4 linked regions of the Stegostoma tigrinum genome follow. The protein of the gene in region 2 interacts with the protein of the main gene of each other region in a pairwise test. Links are inferred from orthologs where the notes say so. Each region holds a gene or a part of one and is shown on either strand. Other genes may lie near its edges. The genes, in order: ccdc57, zgpat, lzts2a and dhx15.

The links.
Region 1: the proteins of zgpat (region 2) and ccdc57 interact in binary tests that used the Homo sapiens proteins (3 or more experiments, as listed by UniProt). The two-hybrid records come from large-scale screens. The link is inferred for Stegostoma tigrinum from reciprocal best matches to the Homo sapiens genes ZGPAT and CCDC57.
Region 3: the proteins of zgpat (region 2) and lzts2a interact in binary tests that used the Homo sapiens proteins (3 or more experiments, as listed by UniProt). The two-hybrid records come from large-scale screens. The link is inferred for Stegostoma tigrinum from reciprocal best matches to the Homo sapiens genes ZGPAT and LZTS2.
Region 4: the proteins of zgpat (region 2) and dhx15 interact in binary tests that used the Homo sapiens proteins (3 or more experiments, as listed by UniProt). The two-hybrid records come from large-scale screens. The link is inferred for Stegostoma tigrinum from reciprocal best matches to the Homo sapiens genes ZGPAT and DHX15.

What each region holds. Positions count from the first base shown.
Region 1 is NC_081375.1:27,668,032-27,675,510, forward strand, and holds the start of ccdc57 (coiled-coil domain-containing protein 57), read right to left. Parts: upstream 3,009-7,479; 5' UTR 2,968-3,008; intron 1,789-2,967; exon of another isoform or gene 1,375-1,788; intron 1-1,374. UniProt on the Homo sapiens protein: Pleiotropic regulator of centriole duplication, mitosis, and ciliogenesis. Critical interface between centrosome and microtubule-mediated cellular processes. Centriole duplication protein required for recruitment of CEP63, CEP152, and PLK4 to the centrosome.
Region 2 is NC_081372.1:35,392,725-35,399,866, reverse strand, and holds the start of zgpat (zinc finger CCCH-type with G patch domain-containing protein), read left to right. Parts: upstream 1-4,131; 5' UTR 4,132-4,229; coding exon 4,230-4,774; intron 4,775-7,142. UniProt on the Homo sapiens protein: Transcription repressor that specifically binds the 5'-GGAG[GA]A[GA]A-3' consensus sequence. Represses transcription by recruiting the chromatin multiprotein complex NuRD to target promoters.
Region 3 is NC_081373.1:6,413,826-6,421,104, forward strand, and holds the start of lzts2a (leucine zipper putative tumor suppressor 2a), read right to left. Parts: upstream 3,017-7,279; 5' UTR 2,793-3,016; intron 1-2,792. UniProt on the Homo sapiens protein: Negative regulator of katanin-mediated microtubule severing and release from the centrosome. Required for central spindle formation and the completion of cytokinesis.
Region 4 is NC_081354.1:88,290,750-88,297,623, reverse strand, and holds the start of dhx15 (pre-mRNA-splicing factor ATP-dependent RNA helicase DHX15), read left to right. Parts: upstream 1-3,871; 5' UTR 3,872-4,085; coding exon 4,086-4,255; intron 4,256-4,286; exon of another isoform or gene 4,287-4,574; coding exon of another isoform or gene 4,575-4,588; exon of another isoform or gene 4,589-4,592; intron 4,593-6,874.

The sequences.
Region 1 (7,479 bases), on a different chromosome or scaffold from region 2:
TCTGTGATATCTTATCAAATGCCTTTTGTAAGTAGAAATACACTACAGGTTCCCCTTTGGCCATGTCAATTGTCATATCCTCACAGAACTCTTAAAATATTTGTCAAACATGATTTTCCTTTTATAAAACCATATTGACTCTGCTCATTTATATTATGATATTGTAAATATCATGCTGTAACTTCCTTAACAAGAGACTTCAAAATTTTTCCAATCACAGATGTTAGACACAAAAGCAGAAATTGTTGGAAAAGCTCAGCAGTTCGGGCAGCATCTGTGGAGAGAAATCAGAGTTTGCATTTCAGGTCCAGTGACTCTTCCTCAGAACTAGATGTTAAACAAATTGGTCTATAGTTTTGTGTTTTTAATTTTCCTCCCCTGTTTAATACAAACAGTATATCTGTAGTATTCCAATGCCTGGGCCTGTCCAGAATCTAGAAGACTGTGGAAGATTACAAACTTGAACCAAATTTCTCCAGTTAAAATTTCCATCCTATTTAATGCATGGCAACAGGGCCCACAGTTCACTGCAACTAAGTCTGAAAAGTAAATGATAGCGTAGTATAGCATTCACAGACAGGCATTAACCATAATGATGGCATCATAATTGCAATTTAGAAAGATAGATATTTTGGAAATTGATGCCAAATCATATATTTCCGTCAGATTCACTCAATGTAGAATCCTAGATGTGTCTTCCCTCTTTAAACCTGACTATGTCAACTTTCCCATTGCCACACTGGTGAGTTTAACTAATGCTACAGAAACTACGATACAAGGACTTTCTCAGTTGTACGTATGGGCAAGTTCGAACTGTCATTATGAAACCCTGTGCGCAACTTTATGTTATCTTGATCCTGTGTTGAAGTTGCCTCACTTTAAGTGCTTATAAACACCAACAGTCATGGAACCAGAACACTGTTATGCCTTCTTCTATCCATTGTTATTCTTGCTACTTTGATTCTTCCATTGAGGTCTGTGTCCATTTAAATAGACTCACTGGAAGTAGAACCCTCATCTTCACACTGATGGTAAGAAAAATAATCTAAAACGTACATTTCAACTTTTGAATTTAAATACATATTTTACGTATGCAATCTAATTAATATATTTTAAATTCCTTCTACCAACAGCCAAATCTTCAGTTTACCACTTCTTCCCCTCTTTTTTATTATTACTACTGCTATTACTGGTTCCCACCCCTGGTATCCTCCTCATCAATGCTCTTGATTCATTACTAGGAATAATGACTCAGGCAGCAGGTAAGTACCAAATGTTATCTTTCCAAATTTATGATTATTTTTGCGAGCCCTAAGTTGACGTAGTGTTAGCCTCACAGTATGCATCACACCTAAACTGAAATGGTTTCCTTACCCAGATGCCGATAGACAGCAGGAAGTAGCATAAACTCTAGCCAGTGCTCTTGATCAGCATTGATTTTCGCCAAACAATAGTCCGAAGACTGAACTCATTGCTTTTTAAGTCCCAGTTACAATCTGATCAACACCAACTTTCTGCATGAGAACTGTATGATGCTTAATCAAACAGTTTGCAACCTTGATTTCATATCAGTTTGTTCAGAAACGGCATCATGTCGAGCTCCTCAAAAACCTGACTTTATCTCTGAGCTCGCTCTCCAATCTCATCTCTCTCGCCCACTCCAACCGCCACTGTAACTCCACAATTATGCTTCAGTTCGTCTCTTTGGTCACAAAACGATTCAAAGCCCGTTCAAATAGGCCTCTAATTTCCCGTTGCCACGGTGACGCGCGGCGGTGCTTCTGTCAAAAATCCATTCCGGGGTCCCCCGAACGCGTGGAGTATTTGTGCCATCAACAATGGTTCCGTTTTCTTTGTAAGATGTATATTTTGTTCAAATAAATCAACTAAACACAATACATGTTGAAAATAAGTAGCAAGAGTGCTGAGAGAATTCATCCTTCTTCTTAGTCGTCTCAGTGATTATCATCCATAATGATTCTCTCAGTTGAAATGTATTTTAATTTTATATCGATTAGCCCAAAGGTTTTACGAAAGGATCTTCTATTAAAGGTTAATTAGACAAATATTTGAAAAAGGCAGTAGCACAGTGCTAAGCGTCTTTGCCACTGGGCCATTAGACCTAGATTCAAGTTGTAAAGAAACGCTTAAACAGGTTGATATAAAAATCAAAAACTGAGTTGTACTGGATTATTGGGTCTTTTGTTTTGGTGGTTGATTCTTAAAATATACGCAGGAGATAAGTAGTTTCTTGATTGGTAAGGGGATCAAAGATTACGTGGAGAAGGCAGGAGAATGGGTTTGAGAAATGTATCAGCCATGATTTGATGATGGAGTAAACTCGATGGGCCGAAAGGCCTAATTGTGCTTATAGTCTTATGGCCTATAATTCCTAATTAGATAAGACAGGGAGCTGAATTTTAACACTTTGACCTATCCCCATCATTTTGGAGGCGGAGAGGAGGAGTGGAGTGAGGCTACACTTACAGACCTCCCTCTCTCTCTCTCTTCGCTAATGTTCAGGCTGTTTGTATTGAATTGTTTAGAGAGCTGCTGGTCTGCACGTATCCACAATGTGACTCCAATCTCTGTAACAACAAGGATATGCTAAAGATCCAATTTTTAAAAAAAATACACAAAGACTTGCTCATTGATGAAAAAGCACTTTACGCATTCACACGTTTTCTGTTTTGGGTCCAGATTTCCCAACAATGAACCCTTTGCCAGTAAGTGATCATTTCCAAAAACAGCGGAAAATGCGTGAGAAACTGCAAGCATCAGCTCTTTTGCATGTTCTTCTCCGTTTAGGTCTGCAACAGAATACTCTCTCACAGAACTGGGATGTCATTTCTTTCACTGTGAATACACGTGTCAAAAAGGTTCAAGTTACCCCCACCCCCGACAATAAAGGCACGTCCCTCAGCATTTATTTTAAAAGTGCTCATGAACGACCATCCATCATCTAACCTTTCGTACTTCAAACAGAAGATGTTTGGCAACACTCAGCGGGATAGGCAGCGTTAGTGAGGAAAACAGTCAATGCTTTGGTTCCGTAAAATTTCATCAGAGCTTCGCTGAGATGAATATGTTTTCTAAACCTCGTCGTGTGCGTTCAGGTTTCAGTTCATTTCACAATTTACAAGTAGGAAAAAAGGCTCTGACTGGAATAATAAAGTATCCAGTTTTATCGAGTCTTTCTTGATAAATTATCGTACGTTCTTGCGTGGTGGAAAGGGAAATGGAAGACTGCTGATTCACAGCGCAGTGAGATGTATTTTACTATAAAAGGAATACACAACTCATTTATAGGCACTGGGTATTTCCTTCCATGTACTTTTTCTACAACGCCCGCAATAAATTACAACGACATTCCTGTTACACAAACTAGGAAAGTCGCGTGAAGTCAGAATGAATAAGCAAACAAGCAGAAAGGGAAGAACGAGCAAAGCAAATTTAATTCTTGAAATTTAACAAAGAAACAAAGGAAAAGACCGAGCGAAAGCACAAAGAGACAAACTAAACGTTGTGGTAAAAAGTGAAAGGATTTTTAAAAAAAGCTCCTTCAGAGAAATGCAAAGACAAGAAAAAAAGTTCTCATGATATGATTAATATTGACAAAACGACAAGTGTGTCATGAAAGGAAAGGGCGTAAACGATAGCAGTTCTTGCTGCAATCCTCTACTCATACTGCTAGATAATTTGCATAATTCGAGTTCGGTTGAAAGGCCACCGACCCAAAACGTTAAATCTTGTTTCTCTGCCCATAGATGCAGCCTGGCCTGCTAGGTACATGTAGCGCTTTCTGTTCTTTTTTCTTTGTCTTCTGGCACCTGTAGAATTCTGCTTTTGCAAATCATCGCAGTTACAACAATGGACCAGGTCCCGAGGAGGTGAAATCCAAGTTGTGGGACAACGTCATTTTAAAAACAAAGGACAGGGGAAAAAGTAAAAGAGAAATCATTGTAGCAGCTTTCGGATCTTCGAATTAGAAGGTTGCTGATGATGTCTTTCGTCTCCCTTTCAGTGGATGTAGAAGTTGCTGTTGCAAGGAGACATTGGAGTTTACCTGGCCAATGTTGTTCAAAAAAATCTAGTCGTCATCTCATTGCTGTTTGTTGGACTTTATTTGGTGGCACAAAAATGACTGCCATATTTGTCACAACACATTTATGGCATATTTAATGCCTCACCATACAGGACATCCTGATGTTGTGAAAGGCATCATAATGAAAGTTACCTTTTTCTTCATCAATTGGATGGATTCATTATTACATGAATTTTGCTTCTTTGTAGGTAACGCCACTTTTGTTACTCAATTTGCATGTAACAAAAAAAAGAGTTTGAAACAAAAACAGAAATAAGTGGACAAACTCAGCAGGTCTGGCAACATCGATGGAGATGGAAACAGAGTTAACATTTCAGGTCCAGTAACCCTTCTTCATAACTGGACCCAAAATATTGGCTCTGCTTTCTCTCCACAGATGTTGTAAGACCTGCTGAGTTTCTCCAGCTATTTCTATGTCTGTCTAGGATTTCTAGCATCAGTTCTTTTTATTATTTGAAAAAAGGTTTTCTCAACTCACTTTGTAAAGGAGATGTGTAGCTGTTTTAAAATCAGTTAATCAAATACCCCAAATTAAAACAGCTTCAAGGATGCCAGCCCCTTACAAACAAAATGTGTGTTTAAACCACACACTGGGAGATCCCTTTTCTCCCCAGGTGGATTGGTTGATCTCAAGTAAGACAACAGTAAAAGTGACACTGAAAGATTCAATATCTCTGAAATAGTGAGTGGGAAAACACTGTTGCCAGACCTTGTTCACTAACTTGTATTCCATGTAGGAATAAATACATATTTGGATATTGAATGAAGACAAGATTGACTTCAGCTGGAAGATCTCCCTCTGATCATGTTGACTGCCAAAGCTCGCAACCTTGACTCATACATGAAGAGTACATTTGCAGAATACTCAAGAGCAGCCTTGTTCGTGGTGCAGGGAGACCAACCCATGGAAGCAATTCCCATTCCACCTGAGGTCATCATGCAGGCCCCAACTTTGCAACCTCGCCTGCAGCCTGTTGACCCTCAGGTTAAATTAAAACACCAGTCACCTCTCTATTATGAGAGAACAGCCTATGGTCCCCTGGGACTATGTGACTTAGACTTCACCTCAACATAATTCAATGGCTTTGAGAGAACAGAACAAAATTGTAGGAAATGGGAATCAAGTTAAGAATTTCCCTTTTACTATTAGAATAATGAACTGGCTTTTTATTAAAATTACTTAGATTTTTTTACTTGGTATAAATGTCATTTAAATTGAATCACTAACAATGGACTTTGAAAATTAATAGTAAATGACTAGTGCAGACAGTTAGGGAGAACAGGCACTTTTTATAAACTGACAAAATAAAGCAGAAAGATTGGAGAATGCAGGGACAAAGACCCAGCTCATTGTCCAGCTACACTGTTAATTGCCCTGAATATATTAAAGACCTTGGTGTACAGGGTGTTGCGTTAGAATTTGCAGAAGTATTGTGTGATGTAAGGAGAATAGTATAGAATTTCAAGAGGACATAGACAAGTTGGTGGAATAGGTGGACAAATTATGGATGAATTCAATTCTGTAAGTATCAGTGATTCATTTTGGTAGGAAGAACACAGAAAGACACTACAAAATAAAAGGCAAAATTTTGAACAGGATGCAAGAATAGAAAAAACAGGGTATATCCGTATATAATTAATTGAAGCAGGCAAGACAGGTTGAAAGGGTAGTTAATAAAATAACTGGCATCCTAAACTTTATTAATGGTGGCAGGAGTATAAAGGATGTTATGTTAAACTTGTATAAAATACTGGTTCAGCTTCAACTTCAGCACTGTGAGAGAGATTGCAACAAAGATTCACATGAATGGTACTGGGAATGTGGAACTTCGGTTATTAATAAGATTGGAGATGTTGGGACTGTTTTCCTTTGAGAAAGGAAAGTTGACAGCAGATTTGGTAGAAGTGTATAAAATCAAGAGGGATCTGGACAGAGTAGAGAGGAAAAACTGTGGCTACACATGGAAGCAGAGTACAATCAAGAGCATACAGGCCTAAAGTATGTGACAAAAGAAGCAATAGAAGACAAAAAGAAACAAAAAAAATTTGATGAGGAGGAATTTCTTGCCTCAGAACAGAGTGAATCTGTGGAATTCTTTACCACAAAGGGCTGTTGAAGTTGGTTCATTAAGTATATTCAGGCTGAGATAGATTTTTAATAGAAACTGAATCAAAGCTTATAGGGAAAAAAACAGGAAAGTAGAGTTGAGGATTGTCAAATCAAAAGCAATCTCATTGAATGTAAAGTGGACTTGATGGGTTCAATGGTGTACTTCTGCTCTGAGGTTTTATGGTCCACACAGCAAATGGCTAAGAGGTGGAATTTACAGCCCGAAAGTATGTTGAAGGCAGGTGTAAGTGATGCATTCAATAAGGAATTGATTAATCTGAAAAAGAAGAATATGAAGGTTTTAGCTAACAGCCTGGGAGATGGTATTAATTACTTAATTGGCAAGCTGCTGGGTATAAAATCTCATTGTTCTCATTTCATGAAAGTAAAATGAGTCCAACAAAGCCCAATTGTGGGGGCCAACCTCCTGTTTTTCATAACACCTGAAAGATGTAATCAGAAAGGTGATGGTTACATTCTCTCTTGTTGGAAATTGTCATTGCCATGCATTTGTGTGGCATAAATGTTACTTGCCTGTTATTAGCCTAAGCCACGATTTTGTCCAGGTCTGGCTGCATTAGGACTCAGAACCTTCAGTCATTGATGAGGCTGTTTAGAGCTAGGACATTACCCCGGGAACTTCTGCAAAGGTGTCACTGAATTGAGATTAAGATCTCTCAAGTAATCAAGGCTGAATAGGTTTATAATTTCTGATATTGAAGTAGACACCGTGTGTAGATAATCTCAAAGCATATGACTGGCACAGGAGAAGAATACGCCAAAGACTGTCAATGCCAAAACAGAATGTCTTGTGACCCGACTGCAGATCTCAAGGAGTTCTGATGTTGACCTTTCAAAGTTGACCTTACCCATCATGCCATGGAAAAAGGAGATCACATCGAACAGCTTCTGTGGGCAGCTCTGCTCAACTGGCCGGATGTCTTGTTGACGTCAGCGAAGGCCACATATTCAGTTTTCCATTGTTCATGATATTTCTCTAGCAGCTGCTGGATTAAGACATTTGTAAATTTCTTGTCTTAAATCACACAGATTCAAGGTAGATGCGTTCTGTCAAGAACTTAAGTCTGGCAAAGGCAACATGGGCAAACCATTTTTTTAATGACCAGTAGGGAGAATACCCGATAATTGTTACAGCTGGAGTATTTGGTTAAATTCCTGATTGTCAAATGACAGGAAGAATATGAAGGCTTCAGAGAAGGTGCAGAAAAGATTTAAGGAATGATTGTAGGGATAAAGGACTTCA
Region 2 (7,142 bases):
GAAACCTGTACGTCAAATATTTAGCTAATGAGCATGATTTGGCTAACATCACAGGAAATCTAATTATCTTCCAAACTCTGCACCCATTTAAAGTAGGCACCATTTAATCTTGGTCAATACATGAGGAAGAACATAATAACACAGAAGGATGTTTTGAAACTGGTAAAGGTTCAGAAAGAGATTTACAAGAATGTTGCCATGGTTGAAGGGTTTGAGCCATAGAGAGAGGCTTAACAGGTTGGGGCCATTTCCCCTGGAACATTGGAGACTGAGGAATGACCTTATAAAAGGTTTATAAAACCAGAAGAGATGTTGATAGGGTGAATTGACAAGGGCCTTTCTCTGCAGTGAGGGAGTCTAAAACTAGAGGGCAGAGGTTTCAGGTGAGAGGGGAAAGATTTAAAAGGGACTTCAAGGGCAACTTTTTCACACAGAGGGTGTTGTGTGTATGCAATGAGCTGCCAGAGGAAGTGGTGGAGGCTGATACCTTTTTAAATGTTGTAATTGTATGCAGATGGGTAAACAGATGGGAAGGATTTAAGAAGGACGTGGGCCAAATACTAGCAAATGGGACTAGATTAATTTAGGATATCTGGTCAGCACAGAGGAGTTGGACCAAAGGGTCTGTTTTCAAGCTGTATTTCTCTATGACACACAAAATTACATCCCAAAGCTCCAAATAACTATAATCAATGCAGTGTCGAGCTGGAGGAACACAGAAGGTCAGGCAACATCAGAGGAGCTGGAAAGTCGACGTTTCGGGTTTACACCCTTCCTCAGGACTCCAGCATCTACAGTTCTTGCTATTCCAAATAGTGTACTATATGTTTTGTTTCACAGGAACACGATCCCAAAAAAAGAAACAGGACACTGTTATAAAGGTTTATATTATTCGTGTTTGGAAACGTAAGGCACTGTCGCTCATGAAATAATCTGTCAAGCTCTGGATTTAATGACAGCAACGAAGTATAAAACTTTTGAACATCCCTCATCGTCTCTTGTATGCTCTAGAACGATGGCTTTCAATTCAAGAGTCACCCTTTCGCGACCAATAACGCTTACTAAACGGAGCTCTTACCTTTAGACCTTTAAATCCATTTAAATCCTTCTGTTATGTACCAGGCTCCAAATTATGGAAACGACACAAAGCGGAAGTTTCGCCTGAACAAACCGGATCTTCGACCGCCCCTTAGGCATCGAAATGCTGTAGTTTTTCTGTCGCTTTGTTCTGAATGAGGGCGGGGGCATTAAAACGACAATACCCATAATCCTTCAGTGGCGGGTGGGCGGAAATGAGGTGGACATGCGCAGGGCGAGTCATCTGCCATTTTTAATTGTTAAAGGTTGCAACTGTTAAGTTCACCCCAGAAGTTGTCAGTTTATAGATTTTTAAATGACACTTTTCAGATTCATCTTGTGCGTGACATAATATCGTAAAATGCATATGCCCTGAAAACTACATTTGAAAAAATACAACTTCAGCGTAGGTCTGACATGGATATGTTTCCACATATGGGAGAGACCATAATTAGAGCTATAATCCCATCAGGGAAATGAAGAAAAATCCCGCTCCTGACGGCGGTTAGCACATGGAAATACTGACCGAAAAAATGTTTGAGGCAAATGCAGTAAACACATTTCAACAAAGGTTTGGTAAGTATTTGAGGGAAAAAATGAATAGAAAGTTGTGCTTTTAATGTGCATTGAGATGGTCGGAGCATGTACCTCTCGGGCTGAATGGCTTGATTGTGTACTCTGCAATTTATGCAATAATAAACTAAACAAAATGAATGGTCTATGTCTATTGAATATTTCTGCCTCAAGCTGCAGAGAATATCATTGTTACAATTTGGAATACATCACACAGATGGAGAATTTAAAAAGAAACTTCAAAATGCCATTGCACCCACTCTGGAAAAGGATGGATTGCATTTTAAAAGAGACTATCTTTAGTAGAACAATCAGCTGTAATACCATCCAAACATCAAGACTGCCAAAGGAACCTTGGAATACGTTCGTGGATTCCCGACAACTTCATCTTTACCGTCCTTTTAACATTTTTTTGGATGCTACTGCAAGTCAGCATATATATTTTGCAGGATTCAGAATGAGTTTTAGTTTTTCAATTAGTTTTATTATAAACTCAAGTATAAGCCTTGTTGGTTCAAGAAATCCATCTGGCTTAATTTTTCATATAGTTTTTACATACAGTCAAGCATATGCTGAATAGAAAAAGAATCTTTATAAATTCAAACTAATGAAACCAACCTCCGAGCTGAGAAGTGAGGAATTCACCTCTCGGGATTCAGTTTAACAGTGTACTCAGAAAATTCTAAAGTGCTTCATAACCAATTGTTGACTTTTGAAGATTAGAATTATTGGAAAGGTAAATACAATGATAACTCGTATACACTAAGATCTGATAGAAACAAACGAATGAATGGAGATAATCATTTGTGGTGGTGTTGTTCAAGTCTACAATGTTTGTCAGGGCAAAAGAAGGACCTTTGCTTTCCTTTGAGTAGTGCCCACCAGGGACCTTTGATGCCACCTGAGGAGACAGGTTTGGTTTAAAATGGCATCTGAGAAGGAAATGATATTGAACTATATAGGTTTTCAGTAATAAAGAAATGAAATAAAAGGGGTAATGTGGTTATGATATTAGACTCATAATCCAGAAAAATACTGAAAATCCCACCCATAATGACGATAAGTTAATTTAAATTTATTTTAAAAATTTTAGAAATAAAAAGCTGGCAGTAGTGAAAAGAATTATATAATCGGGAAACCAATCCCCCTGTGTGGCTTCCTCTACATTGGGGAAACCAAGCAGAGCCTTGGGGACCGCTTTGCAGAACACCTCCGCTCAGTCCGCAACAAACAACTGCACCTCCCAGTCGCAAACCATTTCCACTCCCCCTCCCATTCTTTAGATGACATGTCCATCATGGGCCTCCTGCAGTGCCACAATGATGCCACCCGAAGGTTGCAGGAACAGCAACTCATATTCCGCCTGGGAACCCTGCAGCCTAATGGTATCAATGTGGACTTCACCAGTTTCAAAATCTCACCTTCCCCCACCGCATCCCTAAACCAGCCCAGTTTGTCCCCTCCCCCCACTGCACCACACAACCAGCCCAGCTCTTCCCCTCCACCCACTGCATCCCAAAACCAGTCCAACCTGTTCTTCCTCTCACCCATCCCTTCCTCCCACCCCAAGCCACACCCCCATCTACCTACTAACCTCATCCCACCTCCTTGACCTGTCCGTCTTCCCTGGACTGACCTATCCCCTCCCTACCTCCCCACCAATACTCTCTCCACCTATCTTATTTTCTCTCCATCTTCGGTCCGCCCCCCCCCCCTCTCCCTATTTATTCCAGAACCCTCACCCCATCCCCCTCTCTGATGAAGGGTCTAGGCCCAAAACGTCAGCTTTTGTGCTCCTGAGATGCTGCTTGGCCTGCTGTGTTCATCTAGCCTCACATTTTATTATCTTGGATTCTCCAGCATCTGCGGTTCCCATTATCTCTGATATAATCGGGCTTATCTGTTTAAAGAACAGAAATCCTTCATGTTGTCCTAGCTGAACATTTATTCCTTGATTAAACAATTTTCAGTCACAAGTTTTTTTTAAATTTAGTCCCTTGGAAACAGATTAATTGATCAGTATTGCTGAAACACTAACTTCCAAACCATCAATTTGTTTGTTCCTTTCATTGATGCTCCACATTTTTCTGTTTTCCATTTGGAACACAGCTTTTATCTCTTGGCTGTTTGCGGTATCTTGCTGTGTTATTGCCTTGAAAACACGGCAGTGCACTTACAGAAAGTACTCAGTGATTAGTGTTTAGGGGTGTCCTGAGAACAGGAAAAATGCCGTTTAAACGAACTTTAGTTTATTTAATGAAATACGAGAGGGGGGGGTGTTAAAACAGAAAGTGGGCAGAAATTTAAGAAAAATAAAAGTAGATGACACCTAAAGTTTGCAAATAATGAAAATGATCCATGGAGGCTAAAAATGCAAGATTTTGGAACTAGAAGAGAGTGGGACTTATAATGTTCCCCATGTTCCCGGTTGCGAACTGAACTATTTTTCCAGCGTGAGCCCAGCCACAGGTCAGAGGTTGTTCACTGTCTTTTCCTTCCGGAGTTATTGTTCTCGTTGGCCATGGCGGCGGGAGCTGAACGATTCTGATCGCTGTCAGTGCGGCTCCGGAGCGCTGGTCATGGACGAGGCGAGTCTGGAGGCGGCCATCGAGGTGTACAAGGCCCAGCTGCAGCAGGTGGAGGCGGCGCTGGGAGCCGGGGCCCAAGCTGAGGCCGAGGCCCAGGCGGACCTGCTGCAGCTCCAGGCCGACCTACAGCAGCTGGTCGCCCTGACCGAGTCCAGCCTCCTGTCGGTCCGCAAGAGCCAGCTCCTGGAGCAGCTGCAGCGAGGCGCCTCGCCGCCGGAGCCCGAGGACCAGTCAGGGCTCGACGCCGAATACGCCGCTTTCCAGGCGGCTCTGAGGGAGGCCGACCAGGAGCCGGGGAGCGGCGATGAGGCTGAGACTAAGGTTGAGGCTGGGGATATTAGCGGCGCCAAGGTGCGGGCTCCGTACCGCTCGGCTTGGGGCCCGCTGCAGTATCACAACGCCATGGTGGTGGGTGTGGAGGCTGACCAGCCACCCGAGCCCACAGTCCGTGTCCTGTGGATCCACCCCACACAGAGAGCCATGAAGCCCTGCCCGTTCTACCTGAGTGGGAGCTGTCGCTTCCTGGACTCCTGCAGGTAATTCAGGAAGGGAAGGCTGAACTGAGAGAGAGAATAAACATGGAGTAACATCATCGAGGGAGTTCAAAACTAGGCTCCACGTACTCGTATATTCAACAAAGCATTCACGAGCAAATTACTAAGAAGTGATTTTACTATAACATAAGCAGAAATTGCTGGAGAAACTCAGCATACACATAGCATCAACAAAAACAAAGTTGCTGGAAAAGCTCAGCAGGTCTGGCAGCATCTGTGAAGGAGAAAACAAGAGTTAACGTTTCGTGTCCGGTGACCCTTCCCCTCAGCCAGACCTGCTGAGCTTTTCCAGCAACTTTGTTTTTGTTCCTGATTTACAGCATCCGCAGTTGTTTTCGGTTTTTATTATCTACAGTAGCATCTACGGAGGGATAACAGAATTATCGTTTCGAATCCAGTGACCTCTGCTTTCTCCACACATGCTGCTAGATATGCTGCTGAGTTTCTCCAGCAATTTTTGTTTTCATTTCAGATCTTGACATTGGCAGGTTTAATTTTAGAGTTTGTGTAATGTTTAACTCTATGAGGAGTAACTGAGACACGTAGTGTTAAAGAGATGTTACTTAAATATAGGCTAGTGCAGTGAGTATTGAAGGTATATTGATGTGATGCCATTAAGAAGGATGAGATGATGCTCATGTGGACTGCTACAGGCTAGTTGGCTAAATAGTCTGTTATTGTGCTAAAAATTCTGTGTAATGAATGGTTAGGTCAATCTGAAACCTCAAAGGCAGCAGAACTGTGCACACTAAGAAATGCACAGTTTACAGTCGTATATCTATTTAAATATGGAATTGTCTTAGTTTTCTTTTTGAGTGGCCACAAATCCAAAAATGATTTTCCTATAATTCAGTCTCATTCTCAGCATGAGAACTGCGGTGCTGCAAGGATCAGTGCTTGGATCCCAGCTATTCACAGTCCCCATCCATGATTTGGATGTAAGGACCGAATTTAATATTTCCAAGTTTATTCATGAAACTGGATTAGTTGGGAATGTGAGTTGTGAGGAGGATAAATAGAGGCTTCAAGAGTATTTAGATAGGCTGAAAGCGCATGGTACGTGGAATATCATCTGGAAAAATAGAAGGACAAAATATTTCTTACGTGGTGAGAGTGAGATGTGTTGATGTTCAAATAGATCTCGGTAACCTTGATTGAATGTCACTGAAGGTTAATGTGCAGGGTCACTTGGCAATTGGGAGTGCTGATATGTTGTTTCACCAGGATTTTACAGGAGTAAAAGTGTCATACTGCAGTTACATAGAGCCTTGGTGAGACCACACCTTTAATATTGTGTACAGTTTTATTTCCTTTTCTAAGCAATGATATACTTGTCATTGAAGTATTACAGCAAATGTTCACTAGACTGATTCCTTGGTTGGCAGAATTCCTTACTTAGGAGGAGAGATTGAGGCGACCAGACCTATATTTTAGTTGATCACATTGAAGTACACAAAATATTTACAAGACGTGACAGGTTGATGCAGGAAGGATATTTCCTTGCCTGGGACAATGTAGAACGAGGGGACAGTCTCAAAATAAGAGGTTGTCCATTTGGTACTAAGATGATGTTTTTCATTCAGGTTGGTGAATTCTTTTTTCATCAGAGACCTATAGAGGCTTGGTCATTGATCATATTCAAGGCAAAGAATGATAGATTTCTAGATATAAACTATATATCAAGGGGCACTTGGATAATGTGGGAAAATGGCGTTGAGGCAGAAGGTCAGCAATGATCTAATTGTATAGTGGAACAGGCTTGAAGAGTCAGGTCAATGCAGAAAATATGTAGTGGCAGAGGGTGATTGCATCTTCCCTAATCACAAGAAAACACAGTAATGTGGTGACCGATCAGTGAAAAGTTGTTTCCGTAAATAGATCGGAAGAAAATGGTGAGGAGCTTCTCTCATTACAGGCTGGCTGTCTTGTGCATGCAACTGATAGGCACACTCCTGTTAGCAAGTACAGCCGTGAGAAAGCTGCAAAGGGGTGGGAGACACAATAGGGCAGTGAGATCTACACAGGTGCCTGGGGAAGATGAGGATTGCAAGTGGATTAGAGGTAGAAGGGGTAGAGCTGTGCAAGGGGACTGAGTAGGTGGGAAGCTGGTGCTAGGGGTTTAGGTAGGAAAGGGATGTTCTGTGGTGATTAGGAGAGGCCAGAGGTATCTGAAAGAGCATCAGGTAGGTGGGAGTGACAGGGAGGAAGCAAGTGTTGTGAAGACAGCAGGTCAGTAACAAGGAAAATCACAAAATAATAAAACACTTGTAAATGAATATGAAATTCCTTTGCTTAATGCTGCATTTGTTCAGGACATATGTGAAGATTGCAGCAGATGTTGTGGTGATGA
Region 3 (7,279 bases), on a different chromosome or scaffold from region 2:
CTGATAAAATGAAGCTAGCTGAATAGGAAGCAATGTGCAAGACATAAAAATGCTGCAGTGGGATAGTGACAGAATGATTCCACAAGGTGGTGGTGGATGGGGTATAATCCAGGAAAAGGTGAATCCGAGATAACAAAGTGTGGAGCTGGATGAACACAACAGGCCAAGCAGCATCTTAGGTGCACAAAAGCTGACGTTTCAGGCCTAGACCCTTTGTCAGAAAAGCTTTTGTGCTCCTGAGATGCTGCTTGTCCTGCTGTGTTCATCCAGCTCCACACTTTGTGATCTTGGATTCTCCAGCATCTGCAGTTCCTACTATCTCTAAAGGCGAATTCTCTAGCTTGGTAGTAGAAATGAAGGAGCAGCAAATTTTTGAAACACAGTAGTAAACATTGATGTGAGAGGGATCTGGAGATCCTTTTACACGAGTCATAGAACATTAGCATGAAGGCAACTGGAAAGCTGAACCGTTTGCTTTCTCTGCATAGGAATTGGAATATAATATTACAATCCATATGGTTTGAAAGCAGGCCATTCAGTCCAAGAAGTCTATACCTACCCTCCAAAGAGCATCCCACCCAAAGCCCTGTAAACCTGCATTTCTCAAGTCCAATTCACTTAGCCTACACATCCCCGGACACTATGGGCAATTTAGCATGGCCAACCCACCTAACCTGAACATCTTTGGTCAGTGGGAGGAAACTGGAGCACCTGGAGGAAACACATTCAGACATGGGAAGAACGTGCAAACTCCCACACAGACATCGCCCGAGGGTGGAATCGAACCTAGGTCCCTGGTGTTCTGAGGCAGCAGTGCTAACCACTGAGCCACCGTGCTGCCCCTAGTAACAGCAAGAACATCTTGCTCCAATTATATACGGTGGTAAAAGCCTATACCTGGAAGTACAAAGGTACAATTTTGGTCACCTTACCTAAGAGGGGTATGCTTGCATTGGAGTGGATGCAAAGGTTCAACAGATTGATGCCTGGGACAAGAGTGCTGGGCTATGAGGAACAATCAAGTTAGTTCGGGCCTGTATATTCCCGTGTTTAATAAAGAAGCAGTGATCCTGAGTGACCCCCTCTTTGAAGGGTCTAGGCCCAAAACGTCAGCTTTTGTGCTCCTGAGATGCTGCTGGGCCTGCTGTGTTCATCCAGCCTCACACTTTATTATCAGTGATCCTGAGTTACTGTTTCTCCCAGCTGCAGAGTCTGAAGCTATGGATCATAGTCTTAAGATAAGGGGTCAGCTATCTAGGGCTGAGGTGTGGGAAGGATTTAGAGGGTTACGAGTAATTGAAAGTCTGGATCCTGTAAGACGTGGACGAACAATATAGTCTTTGGGACGTGAGCATTAGGGGATAAAAGGGCTCTGGCAGAAATGGGGCGGAAAAACTGAGCTGTGGGGAACATTCTGCAAAAGAAAAACTTATCAGCCTTACAGACTAAGGCACATATGGTCTGCTCCTATTTATGTACATTTCATTTGCATTGCACCTTTCACAACCAATGGGCATTCTCAGAGCACCGTATGCAATTAAATTACTCCCTTGCCAGTCACTGTTGTATTGAGGTAATGTGGCACCCAAATGACAGTGTGATAATGACCCGATAATCCGATATAAGGCATGAACATTGACCAGGACACTGGCGAACACAGCCTTGTTGCTGTTCGAAACCTGCCTCAATCCTTTACTGTCCATCTGAGAGGGCAGGCGGTACCATAGCTCAACGTCTCATCCAAACATTGGGACCCAAGCGTTGGTCTCGACTGTGGCACGCAGCAGAGATGCTTGAGCCCGCAACTTTGTGACTCAAGAGTGTGAGAGTCACCCACTGAGCCCCAGCTGAGACACACATATAGGAGAGGCAGTCTATTCATACCAACTTCTCTAGCTTGTTGAATATTAACAGGCACCTCCCAACCTACAAACATCTCAGCAATAAACAAGTCTTTCTGATTTAATGAGGGGTGCAGCAATTGCAATGGGGAAGGGGGTGTGGTCAGACCACTTTGAACACAACTCCCCTACCCGGGAGACCAAAGGCCAATAGAGAACAGGCTGCTGTTATACAGAGACCGACATCAAGAGTATCTGTACATTTCCACTTTACAGGAAACATTATCCAGAAACGTACGCCAAGATCTTTCCCTTCACCTCTGGGAAATTACAGTCTACCACAACAGCACCAAACACATTATTAATAACGCAGATCCAATTTACTCGCTAGCTTCGTGTTTTATGTATTAAGTTATTGCCAGCAGAAAAAGAAAACACGACCAGCAAAAACAAAAATTTAGAAATTTATGTAGGAGCTAAAAACACAACCCTGGAATCCAGCTCAGCAGAAATTCTCCACAGAAAGAGGAAAAAAAACGTGTTTCTCTCTTGTTTTTCAACAAAGAGTTTATTCTGTACCTCTAGAAATTTCTCTATCTCCTTCTTTTCAGGGGTGAGAGCCTAGCCAGGAGCATGTTAGGGGTGGTCTGGAAGCAAAACTGCCCCTCAGATTACACACCGCGCCAACCAAGCAATTCAGAGACTCCATTCCAGCAGAAATAAACTGGGTTTGCAGAGAGATAATAAACTTTTACTCTCAGTCTCGTAAAACAATATAAGTAGGCTTGACTAATGCATACGATTTGTTAAATAGCTGTTGCGCCCAGTTCCAGGATAATTTGTCATTTTTCTCTCCCCCACAGACACATATCAGGGCCTGGAGGGAGAAGTGTGTGGTTTTACAAGGAAAACGACAAGCACTATCGACCCGTACTTAAACCACACACTCACCGTCTATCGACTCGCCCTCTCCCCTACTTTCAGTTGCGATCCAACGAGCCGCTTTCAAAGTCAGTTCAAATTTCTCTCTCTTTCCTCGGTCTAGCCCCACACCTTTACGCCGCTAGAGCCGGCCAGCATGTTTCTGTTCGATGCATATGCACATACAGAGTGGGGAGAAAAAGGGCCGATGACAAACAAACACGCAGAACTTCCTTCAGTTCCCTTCAGCATCTGTCAGTAACAGGATTTGCTTGTCAGAGTCCCACCCCTTTTTTCTTCTGCAAGGGGAGGGATATTGGAGAAACCTATCGCCGCTGCCTTGGGAAATCATCAGTCATGACCAGTCTGTGCTTCCTGAAGCCCCTGGATCCCTGAAATCTGTGGTTCTGTTCTGCTTTGGTTCAGTTGCTGAATCCCACCCTCTGTTTCACGTTTGAAACTTGACACATCAACATTAAGGAGTTTGCAATAATGGAGACTGAATCCCACGTTTCAGAAAAAAATGCTGAAATGGAGATGATTCTTTTCTAACAATAAATAAATACACGAGATAACAAGGTGTGGAGAGAGATAATGGGAACTGCAGATGCTGGAGAATCCAAGATAACAAAGTGTGAAGCTGGATGAACACAGCAGGCCAAGCAGCATCTCAGGAGCACAAAAGCTGATGTTTCGGGCCTAGACCCTTCCCTTCACTTGTCCCTAAGAGATTGACCCACAACTGTTTATTTCTCCTACCCCATTGGAGAGATGTACAAAAATGAACAAGAATTGTGGCCCCGGGGCGGGGGGGGACAGTGGTCGGGGTAGGGGAAATGGATCATTCTGGTTTATCTCTGGCAGGCAAAAGTCGTGGTTGGATGGACTTGGAGTGACAGCCAGTTCTCAGACCCCCATGGACAAAATGTTTGGGAGATGGTGCCACAGGCAGACTGTCAGCATCAAGACCTCCCTGCATTGATATAGCAGCCTTTAGTGCAGTTCCTGGGGCTGCACAGGGCTATTCAAGGTCAAATTCCACACTGAATCAGGTGACAAGGTGCTGGACAAGACATTGAACGTGTGGTCAAGGGGATAGGTTTTTAGGAGGTTTGAAGGTGGGACGGGGCAAGGTTGGACCAAATAGTGTCTGATACAGAAGCTAAATCGACATGGTGGTGAAGATGCAATTTGAATTCATTAAATATCTGGAATTAAAAATCTAATAATAACCATGGATCCATTGTCGATTGTCAGGAAAAACCCATCTGGTTCACTATTGTCCTTTAAGGAAGGAAACTGCCATCCATACATGCACCCACCTCTACATGAAAAACCTGCCTGTTAGGTCCCTTTTAAATCTTCCCCCTCTCACCTTAAACCTATGCCCCACCCTGGGAAAAAGATTTTGACTATTTAGCCTATCCATGCCCCTCACCATTTTATAAACCTCTATAAGGTCAGCCGTCCACTCTGATGCTCCAGGGAAATCAGTCTCAGGCTACTTAGCCTCTTCCTATACCTCAACCCTGGTAACATCCTTGTAAATCTTTTCTGAACCCTTTCAAGTTTCAAAACATCCTTCCGATAGCAGGGAGACCAGAATTGCATGCAATACTCTAAAACCAATGTCCGGAACAGCCACAACATGACTTCCCAACTCCCATACTCAATGTATTGACAAATAAAGACAAGCATACCAAACTCCGTCTTCACTACATTGTCTACCTGTGACTCCACTTTCAAGGAACTATGAACCTGTATTCCAAGGTTTCTTTGTTCAGCAGCTCTCCCCAGGACCTTACCATTAAGTGTATAAGTCCTGCACTGATTTGCCTTTCAAAAGTGCAGCACCTCACATCTATCTAAATTAAACTCCATCTGCCACTCCTCAGCCTTTTGGCCCATCTGATCAAGATACCTTTGTACTCTGAGGTAACTTTCTTCGCTGTCCACTACACGTCCAATCTGGTGTCATCAGCAAACTTACTAACCATACCTCTTCTGTTCACATCCAAATATTTATATAAATGACAAAAAGCAGTGGGCCCAGCACCAATCCTTGTGGCACACCACGGTCACAGGCCTCCAGCCTGAAAAACAATATTTGACCACCCCCTCTGTCCTCTCCCTTCAAGTCCTCTCCCCATCCCCCTCTCTGATGAAGGGTCCAGGCCCGAAACGTCAGCTTTTGTGCTCCTGAGATGCTGCTGGGCCTGCTGTGTTCATCCAGCCTCACACTTTATTATCTCTGTATCCAAATAGCTAGTTCTCTCTCTACTCCATGTGATCTAACCTTGCTAACCAGTCTACCATCAGGAACCTTGTCAAATGTTTTACTGAAGCCCACATAAATCACGTCCACCGCTCTGCCCTCATCAATCCTCTTTGTTACTTCAAAAAACTCATCAAGTTAGTAAGACACAATTTCAACATACAAAACCATGCTGACTTTCCCTAATCAGTCCTTGCCTTTCCAAATCCATGTAAATCCTGTCCCTCAGGATTCCCTCCAACAAATTACCCACCACCAATGTTAGGCTTACGCTTTATAGTTCCCTGGCTTTTCCTCATCACCTTTCTTAAAAAAATGGCACCATGTTAATCACGCTTCAGTCTTTCGGCACATCACCCATGGCTGTTGATGATGCAAATATCTCAACAAGGGGCCCAGCGATCACTTCTCTAGCTTCCTACAGAGCTCTAGGGTACACCTGATAATAGTCCCAGGGATTTATCCACAATTATGCGATTTAAGCCACCCAGCAGCTTCTCCTCCATAATAATCGCTATTTATTTCCTCACATTCTACATCTTTTTCCACAGTAAACATGATGTAAAATGCTCATTTAGTATCTCCCCCATCTCCTGTGGTTCCACACATAGGCGGCCTAACTGATCTTCGAGGGGCCCTATTCTCTCCCCAGTTACCCTTTTGTCCTTAATGTATTTATAAATCCCTTTGGATTCTCCTTAACCCTATGGGCTGTGAGCGTCACTTCTATTTATTGCCTGTAAGAGCCAACCATATTGCTGTAGGTCTGGAGTTACATGGAGCATAAGGTAGGGAGATGGTAGGAACTGCAGATGCTGGAGAATCTGAGATAACACAGCAGGCCAAGCAGCATCAGAGGAGGAGGAAAGCTGACGTTTTGGGTTCAGGCCCTTCTTCAGAAATAAGGTAGAACTTCAGTATAAGATAGAACTTCTTCACCCAAAGGTTTGTGAATCTGTGGAATTCCCTGCCCAGTGAAGTCATTGAGGCTATCTTATTGAGTGTTTTTAAAGTAAAGGTAGATTTTTGAACAGTAAAGGGAATTAAGGGTTCTGCTGAGCAGATGGGTAAGTGGAGCTGCGTTCACGGAAAGACCAGCCATGATTTGATTAAAGAGTGGAGCAGGCACTTTGCTTTCCTGAACCAGGATGGGTTTCTCCACCTCCTGAAATTAAATACCTCATTCCAGATTTTTTAACTCAAATTCAAATTCCACTTTAAACCCAGGATCCACAGAACTTTACCTCTGGCTTAGCGTTAATGCCACTAGGCCGTCACCTCCTCTGTTTCTGATGACGCTGTAGTGGAACAGTTTGTGGGGGTCTGTAATGCGAACAAGGAACAGCAAATTCTGGGAAACAATTAAAAGGGAAGGAGTGGTTTAACGCAGTGCCTGATGAGCAGTCTTTAGTGTGTAATTAATGAATAAAATCCTTGAATCGTGGAGCCCATGATGAAAAGATTGAAGATTAATCTGGAGCTGAACTCTCAATGCTTTTCACTGGTGCCCCGATTCCCCTCCCATGCTAATGGATTTCTGGTAAGTCTGCTCAGAAAAAATGATTAGCTGACAATTATGTAGCTGGATCAGGGCTGGCTTTCATTCTTCATGGGCCACTCCAGGCTGCAGGATCTCTTCCCTCGGAAACCGTCCGAACACAAGATGAACTTATTATTCAATGAGCCAGTTAATTATAAGCTACAACATGTGTTGAATTATTTATTTGAATAGCCTGCCTGTTCTCCACACTTGTCTTTTAATTGAGAGGACAAGGTTTGAGTTTGCATATTCTCCCTGTGCCTGCATGGGTTTCCTCCCACGGTGCAAGGATATGCAGGTTAGGGTGTCATTTGAGAGTTGCGGGGTGGGGGTGTAGGTTCTTGAGTCCCTGTGCAGTGACAGTGAAGCTCACACAAGGCGTAGGAAGGGTGCGGAAGGTAATAGTCAGCACTCTGTGCTCCAATGCCAGGACTGATATCTTCATTTCACTTGCTGCAACATGGAAAGGATCTGACACCTTTTCATGGGGCATTGCATTCTTGTTGTGGTCACTGATCTCTGCTGGGGATGCAATGGACCCTTCTGGAGTGGGCAAAGATGCCAGCATGGAGACCCCCCCCCCCTCTTGTAGGGGTGGGGGGGGGAGCTGCAGATGTGCCTATAAGGGGAAAGGGCAAACTGGGAAACTACTGATGCCTAGAGACATAGTGATGCACAGCGCAGAAACAGACTCTTCAATCC
Region 4 (6,874 bases), on a different chromosome or scaffold from region 2:
TTAGACAAATGGTGTGACTGGAGTGTCGAGAGGCTGAATAACAAGTGAAGGGATGACCTCCAATCAGATTACTTGAGACAGAGAGATCATTTCAAAAACTTAAAAATAAGGTGGTGCTGGAGACAAACCAAGTGATCTTTTGACCTTTCTGATTATAAAGTCTGTGCCTGGGTGCTCTCTTCACATCACCTGATGAAGGAGCAGCGCTTAAAAAGCTTGTGATTTCAAACAGATTTGCTGGACTATAACCTGATGTCATGTGACTTTTGACCTTGTCCACCGCAGTCCAACAGTGGTACCTCCACATCAATCACATTAGTCAGACAAGATTTTCCTCTAACAATCCATGTTGACTATTCCTAATCAATCGCTGCCTCTACAAGTGTAATCCTGTCTCTCGGAGCTTTTTCCAATCATTTCCCTAATATGTACATCAGACTACTGGGTTTGTAATTAACTGGCCTATCTCTGCTTTTCTTGTACAAAGGAACCACAAAAACTATCTTCCAGACATCTGGCACTTCATCTGTGGCCAGCAAAGTATTAAATATCTCTGCCAGGGCTCTAGCGCTCCCTTCCATTGTTGCCCATAGCAGCCTGGGATACATCTAATCAGGCCCCTGGAATTTTGCGCCTTCATGCCTCCTAAAACATGTAATACTCCTCATTATTCTTAACGTTCTCAATGTCCCAGCTAAAATCACCGTCTACAATGTCTTTCCCCTCTGCCTGTAAACACAGATTGCTCCTTTGGTCTCTAATAGACCCCACTCTTTCCCTGCTAATTCTCTTACTTTTAACATAATTATAAATTGCATCAGTGGTTTCCACAATACTATCTGGCTAAGGTCCCTCTTTGCCCTCCTACTTACTTTTTAAGCAACTCCCTACACTCTGTGGAGCTGGAAGTTCACAGCAGGCCAGGCAGCATCAGAGGAGCAGGAAAGCTGACGTTTTGGGCCTAGACCTTTCTTAGGAAATGGAGATTTCTGAAGAAGGGTCCCGACCTGAAATGTCAGCTTCCCTGCTCCTCTGACGCTGCCTGGTCTGCTGTGTTCCTCTAGCTCCACACTGTTATCTCAGACTTGAGCTTCGGCAGTTCTTATTACCCCTATGCTCTGTATACCTTTGAGGGGCTTCCCCTGTTTTTACTGCCTTGTTCCTGATGTGGCCTCCTTCTTTCTCTTTATTCAACTCTGAACATCCTTTTTTTAATACATTCATTCATGGGATGTGGGTGTTGCTGGCTGGATCAACATTATTGCTAATCCCTAATTGCCCAGAGGGTAGTTAACAGTTAATATTGGTGTGGTTTTGGAGTCACGTGTCAGCCAGGTCAGATGAGGATAGCAGTTTCCCCTCCCTCAAGAACATCAGTGAACCAGATGGGATTTTTCCTTGACAATCAACAATGGATTCATGGTCATCATTAGACTCCTAATTCCAGATTTTTATTGAATTCAAATTCCACCATTTGCCATGGTGGGATTTGAACCTGGGTCCCTGGATTAAAAGTATAGCGATAATACCATTAGGCCATTCCCATCCCACTCCCCTAGACAGCCAGGGTTCACTGGACTTGCTGCCTTGATCCCTCACTCTTAGAAGAACATGCTGGTCCTGAATCCTCACTGTACTGCTTTTAAAAGACTCACTTTCCAAATGTAGACTTATTGCAACTAGTTGCTTCCAGCCTATGTTTGCCAGATCCAGACTAACACTATTGAAATTGGCCTTCCCTTGGTTTTGATGCTCAATTTCTGTATTATCCTTATCCCTTTCCATAGTGACTTTTAAACTCAGAATTATTGTCACCATCTCCAAAACAATCACCCATGAACTCTTCAACCACTTGACCGGCTTCATTCCCGAGGACAACATAAAGCCAATAATCTTGCACACACCTAATTCTTCAGAACACAAGTACTGTGGAAAATGGTAAGTGACCAGAGTACATGAGAATCCATGAATACAAATTATCTCAACGTACTTCAGCAAAGGTCAAAATCAAAGATGACTAATAATTTCAGAAATTCCCTTCAAGTGTAACCCTGTTTCTCTCACACCTCTGTTCTTCTATCTCCCTCGGACAGTTGGGAGGCCAGTAGTATAATCTCAGCAAAGTAATAACCCTTTTCTCATTTCTAAACTCTGTCCAGATGGGCTCATTTGAAGGCCTCTTTACAACATCTTCCTTCATTACTGCAGAGGTAGTTTCTTTTATTGATAATGCCATGCCCCCACCTCTAATATCTTTCACTGTTGTGCCTGAAACTTCTATGGCCTGGAAAGTTGAGCTGCCAGTCTGGTCCTTCCTCCAACCATGTCTTGGTGGTTGCAACAATATCATATCCCACATGCTGATCAGTGCTCTAAGTTCATCTGCCTTATCAGTCAAGATCCTTACATTAAGACAGATACAATTTAGCTTTCTTGGCCTCTTGTGCTTTAACCTGTCTATGTCTCCTCTGCCTAATGGACAATTCTAGCATTCCTTCTATTTCTGATTGGAACTTGCTTCAGATTTTATATCCATCTTGTCCCCTGCCCTATCAAATTAGTTTAAAGCCTCCCCAACAACATGAACAAATTTCGCAGCAAGGTTGTTGGACCCATTCCAGTGTAGATGTAACCACCTACTCAAGAAGCTGTCCCAATGATCCAAAAATTTAAAGTGCTCCCTGCTACACCATCCCTTTAGCAACACATTCATCTGACATATCTTTCGAGTCTTATACTAAATAGCACAGGGCACTCGAAGTGATCCAGAGATTATAACTTATAACTTCCTCTTTAATCTTATACCTAATTCTCTAAATTCCTGTTCCAGGACCTCATTTCTTTTGTTCTTTTGTTCCCCAAGTCATTGGCACTGACAAGAGGCGTGACTGTTGGCTGTTCACCCTTCTCCTTCAGAATGCCCTGATAGCTGCTCGGAGACATCCCTGATCCTGGCACCACGGAGACAACATACAATTCAAGAGACTCTGGTAACAGAGAGCCACCTATCCATTTCCCAATAGTGGATGTGATAGTAATGTCATTGGACTTTGTAACCCAGGAGGTTGAGGTTAATATTCTAAGGACAGTGATTCAAAACCGACCAAAGCAGCTAATGGAATTTAACATTCAAATTAATAAAATCTGCAATTGAAAACTGGTCTCACTGGTGGTGACCTCGAATCTGTCATAGACTGTGAAAGCTCATCTTATTCACTATAACCTTTTTGGCGAAGAAAATCTGCCATTCTGGTCTGGTCTACATGAGACTCTGGATCCACAACAATGATTGCCATTTAACTGCCGTCTGAAATGGCCTACCAAGCCACTCAGTCCAACTGCGTTTATACAGTTAACAGACTTTGCTAGCCTGCATCCCATAGGATAATAATAATTGAAATATGCATGATCAAAAGTTATTTATCTTTGAACTGAACATGAAGTAGTTACATTGTCATTGTCCAAGTGAATTTTGAAAGCTCTCTGTTATGTGGTTGCTCACAAATATTGAAGAACCATGACCGGCAGTTCAGTTGAAGATTGTGACTATGGCTGTTCTGTTGTTCCGTCTGCATCGAGGAAAGAATGTTATAGACTGCTTTTAAAAACTTACAAAGGTCATCTCGTAACCGGTTTCAATTCAGGTCTATCAATTATTGAAACAACGGGAAAATAACCGTGCTTGTGTTTAGGACAGGAAATGAGGTAGATTTCAAATCTTACTCCCAGAAACGGTACATTTTGTGTTGACTTCACACAACTCAGGACAGTTTATAACATCTGACAGAAGCTATATGAAACTAAAACCGCAAGGATCATTCAATAATAAAATGTTAAAACATCTTGCTGCGGTTCCGCGGCGTAACCGTGCCAGAACGAGGTACGTCTCGGTCTGGGAGCCGCCATCTTGTGGAAGTGTTGGGAAGAAGCCCGGCATTGCGTCGGGGCCTGTTGCTGGAGGCTGCTCGTCTTATACATTAAACACTGGGCTGTAGTGGGGAGCGGGAAGTGAAGAAAGTAGATAGGGATATCGAGAGAGGTAAGGGAGACAGGTGCAAGGTGATCAGAGGAGGTGCTGCCTGCGCATGAGCTTCTGCAACAATCGGGACGGAACCCGGAACAGAAGGGGATCGAACGGAGAGACAGAATCGGAACGCACCCGGACCGCTCTAGAACGCGGAGACATGTCAAAGCGGCACCGCGTCGACTTGGGGGACGATTACTCGTCCAGTAAGAAGCGCGCCACCTCGGACGGGTAGGTTAATCCGCAGAGTGGGACGCCGGCGGGAGGCTGGCTGCATCTGAACAGCGGCTCTGAGCGCTAGGGCCTCGGCTGGTTTGCCGAGACAGCGGCCTTGTCGGTGGGGTCAAGCGGCGCTCCCTCAGCGTCCCGCCCGGCTTAGCCGAGCGGAAGGGGCGGCTGCGGCTCGCCGCGGTTCCGCTCTGCCTCTTGCGGAGAAAGCGCGTTAGTTACCGAGAGTGACTGTGCGTGAGAGGCCGAGGGCCTGCGGGTTTGTCCATTACCTCCCGCCACCTCCGCGACTTGGTGCCGCCGGCCTGCAACTTTCCTGCTCATGTCTCGTTTCAGGTAATCTGTTTTTTGTTTTGCCGCCGCTGTATCTTGCAAGGTTTCCGGCCGTTCTTGGCAGGACAGCGCCTTCCGTTCGATCCTGTAATATATGGAGCCTCAACAAGACATTGGCGCTGCCCTACGCCTGTTTCTGCACATGGCTGGGCCACGTTTCCGAGGCCGCACCCGGGTTTTGGGAATTTATACCGAATACCTCGGGGTAGAGGGGAAGACATGTACTGTTGAAGTTTTCTCCGTCGTTTTGCCATGCCCAGTGCTATGGCGGGAATAAGCTTTCTGCACGTTTACTAACGGTATCTTTTCGAAGTTATTTTCCTTATGTAGGTTCGTCCTGAACGTCTCTAGAAGAGGCGCAGAAAGAATGTCAGTTGTCCTCTTTTCAGAGATTAAGGTTTGGGAACAGTGGGGAAATATATTGATGAGGGAGATAAGGCTTATTGGTGTTTTAAAAATTTATTTAATCAGCGGAAAAGTGCGACCCCCCCCCACCCCTTCGCGGGGATGGGGGTGGAGAGAGGGGTGGGAGCCACTGGGGTTCCTAGCTAGGCCTTTTTTGGCAATCTAACCACTACTAAAACACATTTAACGTCCCATGAACGTGTAATTTCGTTCCTGTTTTCTTCCCCTACTTTCCCGAAAGTAGAAGCAGTATGGCTCCACCGGTGCAAATGATGTCTTGCCCAATGTTGCTCATTTATCGCACATTGACTGTCCACTGGCAATTTGTAGGTTAAACTATGGTTTAAGCATGGACACGTAGGTTAGTTCCAATACAGGAGGCTACTCTACCTGAGAATAATTCACTTAGTCCTGTTTTCAGTCCAGCCCATATCTGGTCTGTTCATGTAATTATCCATTTGAAAGTCAGTATCCATGAGTCAGATGAGCAATCCAAAGCCAAGCTCCACCACATTTGCATCCATTGCATTTCTTGATCCATATAAGGTTTCTGTTCATGAACTTTTAGTTCTTTTGTTGATCCCTTGCAGTACTCTGGATGTCTTCTGATTTTGACCCCTCTAACAATGAAAATAAAAAAAATCCCAATTTACTTTGCAGGTTTACTGTGATTTTGATCACCTCATAATCTTCTCAGGAGAACAGCCCATTTCTTTAATTTACCCACTTGACCCTTTACCCTGGAGTTCTGTCTTTTTCTGTACAGTCTCAAATACCCTCACATTTTTCCTAAAATGTGGGCCAGAATTGAACACAGTACTCAGTTGAGGTTGAATTAGTATTTTTTTAAAGCCGAGTGATGACTTCCTTACTCTTATATTTTGTCTCTCCCTCTTTGTACAACCCAAGATCCCAAATGCCTTATCAACAGTATTCCTAACATGCCTGAGCACATTCAATAATTTGTGCGTGTCCCCAAGGCTTGTACTTTCTTTACAATTGTACTGTATTTCAGTGCCTGTCCTTATTCTTCCTACCAAAATATATGACTTCAGCCACCTGTGTAGTAAATTTTGTTGAAGCGTTAGCTCAATCTAGTAGCCTGTTCGCGTTCTTTACATCGTCCTCACGGTTCAGAATACTTAATACTTCTGTGTCATCTGCAAGTTTTGCTATAATGCCTCAAACACATGTCATTAATATGGAACAAAAACAGTCATCATCATAATGGCCTGTTGAAAACCCCATTATATGTGTCTTTAGTTTGTAAAACAAGTGTTCTAGGCTAGTCTCTGATTCCATTTAACCATCTTTATAACTGTGTTCACTACTCCTCTTGCTCCAGTGGGAAAAGCCCCAGTCTGTCCCCGTAACTCAAACCTTCCATTTGCAGCAACATCCTGGTAAATCTATTCTGAGCCCTTTCCAGCTTAGAGTTGATCTTTCTTTGCATCATCTCTATAGCTGTAAAACTATAATCTGCATTCGATATGTGTACGTTGGAACAGGAAAAAAAATGTGGTTTGTGAATAATGTTGGAATAGCTGAAGGTGATGCTGGAACTGTTCTTAATTAAGTGCTCAAGACAAATAGAGTCTCATTACTAAACTAATAGAATATGCTTTCAAATCCTCTGTTTGGTTTTTACTGTTAACAGCAAGAAAGAAAAATCAAAACCCTCAAAGAAGCAGATAGAAAGCTGGATGTCTAGTGTCATGATTTGAATTAAAAAGAGGTTTGGAAAACTTTGACAATTAATATCTGGGACTTGTAGGTTTTGCAGGCTACCAAGCAGGATGGAAAAGTTTAATCCATGCTGATTTCAAATGAGATGATGACTGCAGGCCCGAGAGGTATAGGTGCAAGCTTGTAAAATGTAATTTG